Coturnix japonica: one gene and its partners. The protein of the gene in region 3 purifies or fractionates together with the protein of the main gene of each other region. This does not show direct contact. Links are inferred from orthologs where the notes say so. Each region holds a gene or a part of one and is shown on either strand. Other genes may lie near its edges.

The links.
Region 1: the proteins of CYLD (region 3) and MAP3K7 purify together in Homo sapiens (affinity purification with western blotting; 4 studies listed by BioGRID, with this or other methods). This does not show direct contact. The link is inferred for Coturnix japonica from reciprocal best matches to the Homo sapiens genes CYLD and MAP3K7.
Region 2: the proteins of CYLD (region 3) and SPATA2L purify together in Homo sapiens (affinity purification with mass spectrometry; 3 studies listed by BioGRID and IntAct, with this or other methods). This does not show direct contact. The link is inferred for Coturnix japonica from reciprocal best matches to the Homo sapiens genes CYLD and SPATA2L.

Annotation. Positions count from the first base shown.
Region 1 is NC_029518.1:68,414,149-68,417,800, reverse strand, and holds part of MAP3K7 (mitogen-activated protein kinase kinase kinase 7), read right to left. Parts: intron 1,104-3,652; coding exon 975-1,103; intron 1-974. UniProt on the Homo sapiens protein: Serine/threonine kinase which acts as an essential component of the MAP kinase signal transduction pathway. Plays an important role in the cascades of cellular responses evoked by changes in the environment.
Region 2 is NC_029526.1:16,724,902-16,728,030, reverse strand, and holds SPATA2L (spermatogenesis-associated protein 2-like protein), read left to right. Parts: upstream 1-1,210; 5' UTR 1,211-1,240; coding exon 1,241-1,534; intron 1,535-1,605; coding exon 1,606-2,442; 3' UTR 2,443-2,536; downstream 2,537-3,129.
Region 3 is NC_029526.1:5,107,720-5,111,371, reverse strand, and holds part of CYLD (ubiquitin carboxyl-terminal hydrolase CYLD), read left to right. Parts: intron 1-317; coding exon 318-697; intron 698-1,674; coding exon 1,675-1,840; intron 1,841-2,594; coding exon 2,595-2,736; intron 2,737-3,636; coding exon 3,637-3,652. UniProt on the Homo sapiens protein: Deubiquitinase that specifically cleaves 'Lys-63'- and linear 'Met-1'-linked polyubiquitin chains and is involved in NF-kappa-B activation and TNF-alpha-induced necroptosis.

The DNA of each region.
Region 1 (3,652 bases), on a different chromosome or scaffold from region 3:
ATGTAGTCTGAAGGAGCTGACCCATACTTCATTTTCTCTTTTAAGCAAACAACTGACAATGTTCCTTTGTTTACACTACAAACAAGTTACAGGTAAATAAAAAAGAAAATATGACTACAATTCTCAGGCACAGTGCCAGCCATCATTGCTTGCTTGTTAATTAGATCATCCAAACAAGTTCATTCTTTCTTTGATGGTGTTTTTCACAAATGGCAGAAACTCTTTGCAGACATTCAGTGAGCTAGCTATACCCCTACCATTACTGCCCTCTTCTTACAACTCTGATTTGCCATGGTAACTGAAAGTACTCTGTTAAGAAAGCCATACTACCAGAATTAAGATTTTACAATCTACTATTTTGACTAATATTGTACCACTGCTTTGTCCATCTTAATTCAATAATTTCTCCTGTACATTATACTAAAGTGCTTGGGACATGGTTCTGTAAAATACCTAGTACAGTAAAGTGTTCCTGCTCCTTGACTGCAGGACCCTAGATAAAACAATTCAAACAGCAGAATAAAAGACACAACAACAGTTGAAAAACAAAGTGACATTTATAGTTCCCCAAGGACCTGCAGAATTTAACAGTTTTTACATTTTAAAATATAGGTTAATTACTTAATAAAGGATAAAGATAAAGGAGCTATCTTTTTTTTTTTTAAAGTACATGACTCAGACCACTGTCCAATCTTTTAAAATGGGGAGTTGTAATAAATGTACTGCTTTTCTCCACGGTGTATTTGTACAGTGGTTACATGCGGCAGGAAATGCAAACAATGCAGCAGCCAAATAACACAAAAACCACACTAACATAGAAGTGTTAGTGTCTTAATATTTAATCTTTATGACAGAAGTCCTTATTAAATATAGAATTGAAAAACTAATAATTTAAAAATGCATGCTTCACAATGTTTAGCAAATTTATAGGTGAAATATACAACTTGAAATGCAGTCAAACATTTTCAACTCACCATTGTGAACTGCCCACATTATGCGGAAAGCTGGACCACCAATCTCATCAAAAGGTTTCCTGCGGGTGATTACCTCCCAGAGAATAATACCCCAACTGAAAACGTCACATTTTTCACTGTAATTGCTACCTGGAAGAAATCAGAAATATACTCTGTTTCTTTTTCACGTAACTTTTCTATAACTCATTTTTAATAGGTACAGTTCCATGTGAAAAATAGCTCTATATACTTCCTTTTACCTCATATTTGCTTTCCTAAGAAAATAAGGTTTTCTAAAGCTGTTTGATTTAAGCTAACTTAAGTCTGAAATAATTTGACAGTATGTTCATTAGGAATGCCTCTCTCTGGAAATCAGCTCATTTCACTTGGAATAATCCCGAAATGATAAATGAAGTCAGTTTGGTTTTATAACACCAAATGCAATTTATTACATTTCAATGATCTTTTGAATTCAGAACTGAACCTTGCTTCATCTAAATATTCTTGTTGAGCTTGCTTCTTCCACATTAATCATAATATGTTAGTCATCTTTGCCATAGCCTCTGCTTTCAATTAATTAGAGGTCTTTAGCAGAATCATAAAGTTACCACGTAAAACATTAGCAGATTCTCCAATTCACCATCTTGTTTCTTCTCTGTTTACCTTTCTTAATGTTTTTGTCATGCCACTATTTAAATCAAGTTCCCTGATCACAGGCTAAATATTTATAAGTCTAAGTTACAGGTGCAGAAGACATACAGGCAATATAACAACATTCAGAAACTAAAAGAGGAAAACTGTATGTTTTGTTGCCCTAACTCATGCAAATACTGAAAGAAATGTGAATGATTAATAACATGATAATGACAGCATATTTATAAATAACATGGATTTTTAAAATTAATATGTAATAAGAAAGTATTATTGAGACAAAGCATTTCATAAGTAGGAATTAGTGAAGCAGTATTTCCTAAGACCAGTTCTTGCAGATTGGACTATGAAAGTCAAACTGAATAAACAGGATGCAGCCATGTACTCTCTAAGCAAGGGCAATCATTTGAACTTCTCTCATCTATTGATATTACAAAACTCATAAGAACTTGATAACTCTGAAACCCCTTATACTTGTATCACAGTAGCTGAACGTGGCTAATGATTAAAAAAAATTCTGAAGGGTAATAACAAAGTCAGCTTTCTCTTCAAAAGGTAGCTGTTAATGATGACACATTATAAGGGAAGTAAAACAATCTCTGAGTCTATGCGGTGACAGCACTTCTAGCTACACATTCACTCCATCTTAGGCACTCCACTTTTAAACTGATTCTTCCCAATGATGGCAAGATAGGAGCCCAGCAAGAGCTTTAATGCTGCTGTGTTGAGCAAAGCACTAAATAACTGCATCCCTCCCCCTTTTGTCAAAACTCCTGCACGGTAAGAAGAAAGTGACAACCTTTACGCCTTTTGTCTCTGACAGGTCTGAAGAAGTCCCTTTTCAGTGGACAAAGCTGACTAGAAATGATACTTGGTACCAATAGAGGAGTGAAGACCCCGTGGTACACAGTGGCCGACAGACAGCCCATGATAGGAAAGTAATGCTGTACTCCTGTTTAAGCAAGGAAATTCTAGTTAGTTTGAAGCTGAAAACTAACTCTGAAAAGTGATAGTTCGAAACCAGTACCTAGCATAAGGGGGAATGTCCTATTGTTTCCTTATATAACAGGCCTAGGAGGGATAGCAGATGCATCACTTTTCAATATCCAATTATCTCAAAGCATTTTAAAAATAATTTTGACAAAGAGAGCTCAGAGCTTATAGTACTTTTTTTCTCTTTCACTTTATTCTATCTAAATTATAATATTTTCATTTAGACTGTATGATCTGTTACAAGAGTCTAAATGCCTTAATACTTAAAACTCAGAGGAAGTCATAATATTAGGAAAATTACATCCGTAATCACTTTTTAAGTATGTCACCTACAAGAGATAGTTCTTAAGCCTTTTTAGTTCTTGACTAAAACTTAGTAATAAAGCAGTATCAAAAAAATATTACTGCTTATCCCACTGTTAATTTCTGATGCAGTAGTACACGCAAAAAAAGTTTAACATTTTTGACATAATTTTAATACTCCTTTAGTACATTAATACTTAATTGACTGTCCCAAGAGTAATTTGATATGCTGCACCACAGAATTTACTGGATCCCTTGATCTTTCCTTCACACTGATTCTCACATAAAAGACTTGTGGCATCATCACTAAAAGCTTTCAGGAAAAGGTACGTAAAGCCAACTGCAAACTGAAAGCTTTTGCTGCCACCTAACAATAGATTTGCAATACAATATTTCTTTGTTCTGCCCTGATGAATTTATGTAGCAGAGAAATTAAGCTAAGCACTGTAAATCCCCACCATGGCGCTGCTCTTATTTAAAAATCAGCTTTTATTTTTTTCACTCAAAAGCAAAAATTTTGTTTTAACGCTGATAGGGCAATTGATAACCTCTAAAGGAAAAAGATATTCACACAATTTCATTTAACAGTAAATGTTAAGAAAGTAAGCACTCCTAGCTAAAGTTAAAGAAACAAAGTAGGTGCTCCAATATAAAGTGACATAATGGAAAATTTTTAGGCACCAGGGTAAAGCAGAATCATCCTTAGGTGATTCCCCAAGGTGACAAGTAGAAAAATGAGGCACCTTCATAAT
Region 2 (3,129 bases), about 12 Mb from region 3:
GTACTGCAGCCTCAGGGCTGAGCTGGGGGCTGCTCTTACAGCCCCCCCCCACCATCCCCCACCCTGTTGTCCCCAGGATCGTGCACCGGCCCCAGGAGGAAGCCCTGGCTCGCAGCATGGAGCGGCACCGCCACGCCAGCCCCGCAGACCTGGGGCTGTCCCCTCGGCTCTTCCCCAGCACGTCCAGCCGCCCGCCCTATGGAGCTGCCATCGAGGAGCTGCGCCTCATCCCCCTGGAGACGTGTCCCCGCAGGAAGCTGGACTGCATCGGTGGGGGCCGGGGCGGTGTGAGCTGGGCGCTGTGGGTCCATGGGATGGTCCTGAGCGCTGTGCTCTGCTCTGTGCTGCAGTGAGAGCCCTGCGCAGCATCTGTGAATGCGCCGAGGAGTATTGCAGCGCTCCCAGTGCTGGCACCATGTGAGTGCGGGGTGCAGCCCTGCTGCCGTGGGGTGGGGACGGGGGCTGGAGGGTCCCTGTGCTGTGTGTGGGCTGGGGGCTCCCGTAGGGGTGTGTGTCAGCCCGGTGGTCCCTGCTGTGGGTTGTGCTGATGGTTCCTGATGGTTGTTAACGGTACTGCACTGGGTTTGCTGTTCCCGTTTGGGAGCTGCTGGTTCTGTTGCCGTGCTGTGGCCCGGCGGTGCCGTGCTGGTTGTGTGGGGCCGATGGGGCAATGATCCCATCGCCATGGCGGTGGGCCCGGGGTCCTTTAGCCGCAGTGACCGGGGTGTGGGTGCAGAGTCCCCCCGTGTCCCGTGCTGACGTGTCCCCGATGCACGTTGTAGCGGTGCTGACGAGCTGCTGCCCCTCCTGTCGTACGCGGTGCTGCGCAGCGCGATGCCGCAGCTGCCGTCGGAGTGTGCGGCGCTGGAGGAGTTCATCCACGAGGGGTACGAGCCGGGGGGGCGAGACGAGACCCTGCCGCCCCCAGCCCACCGGGTACCGGTGTTGTACCGGTGTTTGTTGTACCGGTGTTTGTTATACCGGTGTTGTCCCGGTGTTATACCGGTGCTGTCCCGGTGCTGTGCAGGTGGCTGCTGGGTGAGGAGGGTTACTGCCTGACATCGCTGCAGAGCGCTCTCACGTTCCTGCGGACCCTGCCCTGAGCCGCCGGCAAGTGCAGCGCTGCTCCCGGCCGGCAGGGGGCGCCGGGCGGGGCGTGGGACCGGGAGGGAAACGGGGCCGGAACCGGTACCGGAACCGGTACCGCGCGGTGTCCGGTCCCGGGCCGCTGACCCGCAGGATGTGCGCGGGCCCCGCGGTGCGGTTCGAGTACCGGCGGGGGCTGCGGCGGGACCACGAGCGTCCCGGCCCCGAGCCGTCGTTCGCGGAGCGGCTGCGGCAGCGGCTGCGGTCGGAGCCGGGGCTGCTGGCGGCGCTGCAGGACGACGCGGCCGTTCTGCTGTCCCGGGCGCTGCGGGGCCGCCCCGAGCCCGGCCCGGCGCTGCGGGGTTTGGCCGCCGCCTTCGAGCTGCTGGAGCGGGCGGCGCTCAACCTCTACCTGTATCCCTGGCGCTCCGAGTTCCGCTCCATACAGGTGGGTGCCGGGACGCGGTGCCGGTGGGTACAAGGAGCGAACCCCCCCGTGCCGCCCCGTTGTCCTTGCAGACGTTCTCCGGAGCCTACGTGCACGTGCTGCGGGCGGCGCTGCCCGAGGCCGAGCTGCTGCGGAGCCTGGCCCGGCTGGGCTACACGCGGCTGGACCAGCGCCGCCTCGCCGTGCGCCGCCCGCCGCCGGGATCCCAGCTCAGCGCTGCCGCCTGCGGCTTCTTCGCCTGCCGGATCGAGTGCGACATCATGGCCGAGCTGCTGCTGCGGCTGCAGCCAAAGCTGCCGAGCGTCGAGGAGCTGCTGGACGCGCGACGCATCGCCGGGGACATGGAGACCTGCGTGGAGATGCTGCGGGAAGCGGCGCCGGGCCGGGACAACGACAGGGAGCGGTACGGGGATGTACCGGGCTGCAGTGAGGATCGCTGTCTGCAGAGGGCACACGGCCCTGAACGTGGTGGGGAGCGGGATGTGAGTCCCCCAGCACTGAACAAGCTGCAGCGGGACCCTGCGGGACTGCAGGGCGTGCTCGGGAGGGACTGGGACGGCTGTGAACGCAGCGAGCTCCGGCAGGAGCTGCTCCCCTGCCCTGCTGCTCCAGACCCTTCCTCCTCTGGCTTCTTGCTGCAGCAGGAGCAGGGGGAGCTGGGCAGCAGCCCCCCGTTGCTCCCCGAGCTGCCCTCCTACCAGCTGCACTCGTGCCTGCAGCAGGGCTCGCTGCCCGCGTTCTGCTGCACCACCTGCCAGCAGCTGCACGCCGGGAGCTGCGCGGCCGGGCTGGCCTGTCGCAGCCGGCACCGCGGGCAGGAGCTGCGCAGTGAGCGGCAGCAGCGGCTGTGGCTGCAGCGCACGGAGGTGGACATGCTGCTGGCTGACGGCACCAGCACCCGGCCATAGTGGGCACAGCACGGCGGTGCGGGGAGCTGGGCCCTGCTCTGCTTCCTGCTGTAAGTGACTCGATGCCTCCCAGTAAAGTGTGGCTGCATCGTGACTCGGTGCTTTTGTTCTGGCAGGGAGAGGAGGCGGCCATGGGGGGTGGAAAACTTTAATGTGAGCCTGGAGAAGGGAAGGCTGCAAGGAGAACTCACTGCGGCCTACTAGGATTTGAAAGGGGATTATAAACAGGAGGGGAATGGACTTTTTAGATGGGTAGGCAATGATAGGACAAGGGAGGACCAAGGTAGGGACGTGGGGCTGATGGAGGCCAGGCTCAGCATCTCGCCTGGGTAGTGCCATAGGGAGTTTTCACCGCCACCGCCCTTTGTATCTGTTTTTATTGACAACAGAGTCAGTGTTGCACCACGCAGCCAGTACAGGCCGGAGCTGGTCCTGCCAGACACCCAGCACCTCTGTACCAACCCCCAGTTCCCCCCTTTCAGTCCATGCCTCCATCCCCCCCCAGGGGAGGAGGCAGCACAGGCTGAATCCCACCCAGTGCTGTGCTCTCAGCTCCATACAGAAGGAAGCCAGCACTATACAACACATGGGCTCTGCTGGGCTGGAAGGCTGTGGATGTTCCCAGCATGAGCAGCTGTGCAAGGGGCTGAACATGGGCACTGGTAGCCAAGGCAGCCCCCCTAAATG
Region 3 (3,652 bases):
CTTCTGCCATTAATTTTAAACCTTCCTGTAATTTCTGGTTAACATCTTTTTTTGTACTGCATGTTTCCATTGGTTGTGTGATATAAGTTGTAGGGTTATAGCAGTTTTTCCTCATCCAGTTCTGTCTCTGGTATTGTGAAGTGACAAACATCTTCCTGCATTCCTCCAGCTTACCACTTCCCATGCAGGACATGCATTAATTCAGATGTAGTTGCAGATATATGTATTGATTTGACAGCTAAGCCTCCCCTTTGGTAAGGAGAGGGAGATGCCCCAAACAAAACCGGAGTTAACATCTTGTTTTTGATTCTTAACAGTTGCTGAAGACCCTGCAAAATCACTTACTGATTCATCTCCTGGATTTGGGCATTCTTCACCACCACTGCAACCACCTTTAACAAACTCTGTGACTACAGAAAACAGATTCCACTCTCTCCCTTTTAGTTTGACAAAAGCATCAACTACTAATGGTGCTATTGGACACAGTCCTCTGTCTTTATCTGTTCAGTCGGTCATTGGTGATGTAAATACTACACCTAGCCAGGAAAGTCCATCAACAGGAGGCCCTGTTGGTAACTCACATGGTCTTGAAGCAGGTTCCTTGGCTGAAGTGAAAGAAAATCCGCCGTTCTATGGAGTAATCCGCTGGATTGGCCAGCCTCCTGGGGTAAATGAAGTATTGGCTGGACTGGAACTGGTAAATATCATCTAATAAGTTGATTCATATTAGTATTAATTATCTGCTTTATTTTTGAGAGTTGGTGCCTGTGTACTTGGCAGTAGTGGTCAGTCCAGAAGAAAATTTGTCTGAAGTTGCTCTGTGATCTCCTTGTAACACAGATGAAATCTCAGATGGACTCTGACTTTCACAGATGCCCTAGGCCTTATTCCATTAATAGGCTCTGAGGTGGCTTTGTGATGCAAAGCATAATTGAATCAGAAGGACTGTAGGTGACTGATTTGCTTTGTAGGTTACTTGCTTAAGGGGAGTGTCCTTTGTCCACCTTACTTACTGAGCTTGTCACTGAGACGAAAAGCCCCATGCTATTTAAAGGTTCTGCGATATACAGTTCTGTAAAATAAATAAATAAAGTCCCGGGTATAAGAGCCTCAAGTGTGTGTGGCACACCAGCAGGCAGGCAGTGTCAGAGCCTGTCAGCAGAGTTGCAGTACTGATTTTGGTAATCAATGGAAGCATTATTTGTGGTCTGACAGCTAAGTGTTTGGTGTTCCTACCAGCCCTTCACGAATTCAGTTGCTGAAGACAGATGTGTCATATATCATCCACAGCGACGCTGAAATTACTCATGCTTCCAATGCTTAATGATTTCACTTGAGTTCTAAAAGATGGTTGCTTTTTCTACTGCAGAGGGTATCTGGATTAAGAGGGTAGCTTAGTTAAAGTCCTTAAAGTTGAGTAGGTTTAATTCTCGCTCTCATCTCCCGCCTCCCCCACGTTTCTTATGAAGAAAGTGCAATGCTTAATTTTTTCAGTAAATCTGGGCAAACAGCACCTCAGCTGAAGCTTTGTACACACACTGAAAAGCAGCAACATTGCTTATTAAGCTTCAGAGTACTCGACGGGTGATTTCTTGGGTAGATATTTTAATTCAGCATCACACGACAGAATTGTGGAAATAAGGAAAAGCAGTGAATTCTCACTTTAATTTGCAGGAAGATGAATGTGCAGGTTGTACAGATGGAACATTTAAAGGAACCCGATACTTCACTTGTGCTCCAAAGAAAGCTCTTTTTGTTAAACTGAAGAGCTGCAGACCGGATTCCAGGTTTGCATCACTACAGCCAGTTTCCAATCAGATTGAACGCTGCAACTCTCTAGGTACCAAGTTTCTGCTTATTTATTATTTGTCAGCCGGGAACTGACACGGGGTTTGGTTTCATTGAACACTTGGAGATCTCTATTGGCATTACTTAGAGGTTCATGAATAGAAAATCTATCTTTATAGAATATAATGCTTCTCTGGCTTTTTTGTACTTAGTGGTAATTTAAGGAAATGTCATAAAACTTGGGAATTTATGTTGTATTTTTTTACTTCAGAAATTGTGAAGCAGTCTTGCTGAAAAGGGTATTAGCAAATCCAGCAATGTGGGATTGCAGTATCAGAAATAAGCCATATTTCTGTCAAATTATGTTTTCCTAAATACTGATAGAAAAGAGTGTATTTGTACAATGGAAATCAATGGTGGAAAAGCTAACTTTTTTTTTTTTTATTCTAATATTATTAGCTTTCTTGGGTCATGTCATTTTGCTTGGGAGAACAGTAGAGGATAAAGCATCTTGGTATTAGCATGATGGTGCGAACAGGGCATTTAAACTGGGAATTTCACTCCTAATGGGCAAAATTAATTCAGTGCTGCAGGCTATCTGAAGTACTCCTGTGTGCACTGTGTGGAATGTGAGGCCTTGTTCACTTTCTGGAAGAGAGTGAGTCTTATATAATAAAATGCTATTTTTGTCTGGAAATTGAATGTTTTGTGCTAAGGCAGCAGTTTAGCTATAAAACATTAATAGGAAAATCTCAAGGGGGATAAAATTGGAGGCTTTAAAGTGTCTTTTGAAAAAAAAATTTCAGCCTTTGGAGGTTACTTAAGTGAAGTGGTAGAAGAAAACACTCCTCCAAAAATGGAAAAAGAAGGTTTAGAGACAATGATTGGAAAGAAGAAAGGTATCCAGGGTCATTACAACTCCTGTTACTTAGACTCCACCTTATTCTGGTAAGTTCACAATTTGTTTAGTGGCATCCCAAGGTGTGGGTTAGTGGGAGGTATGTTAGAAACACAGAACACGCAATCCTTGTAATGATACTGTTTTTATTGTTGTGCAGCTTAAAAAGTCATACATTACACTCTTTAGCACATACTATGCCCTTTATGTTTGGAGAAGTTCTGCAGGATTTGTTGCTTAACTTGAAGTGCTAACCAGTCACCCGTGTGTCCGAACTCTACTGGCCTTTCAAAGGGTATTTAAAGGGAGCTTATAAACAGGAGGGAAATCAGTGTTGTACTAAGGTAGATAGCAACAGGATGGGGGACTGGTTTTAAACTAAAGGAAGGGACATTTACATTAGATAAGACATCTGGGGGCAGTTTTTTACCTTGAGAATGGAACAGGCTGCCCAGAGAGGCTGTGGATGCCCCATCCCTGGAGCTGTTCAAGGCTGGGTTGGTTGGGGCTCTGGGCAGTCTGATCCAGTACTTGATCTAGTGGTTGGCAACCCTGCCTGCAGCAGGGGAGTTGGAACTCGGTGATCCTTGAGGTCCGTTCCAACCCACACTGTTTTATGATTTATATTCTTGTAGACAGTGTGAGTCAATGGACTTTTGAAGGATTAGAGAATATGTGGGAGGGTCAGAGAGGAACACTTTTAACCTGCTTGTGGAATCCTGCCTTGGTAACTGGTTTTGTATTCTGGTGGTATCAGGGTATGCAGTTAGAGTAGACCTTTACTGCTTGGAACAGCTGTGTTGTCTTGTGTCCATAATGATCTCATTTTGCACTTGTTTTGTTCTTTCATTCTTCCTGTTGCTTTGCTTTGCTTATCTTATGTTATTTAGGCATCAGAATGGTTCTATCTTCAGAATCAAAACCAACCTGCCTTTTTCTTTCTTCCATAGCCTGTTTTCTTTTAGC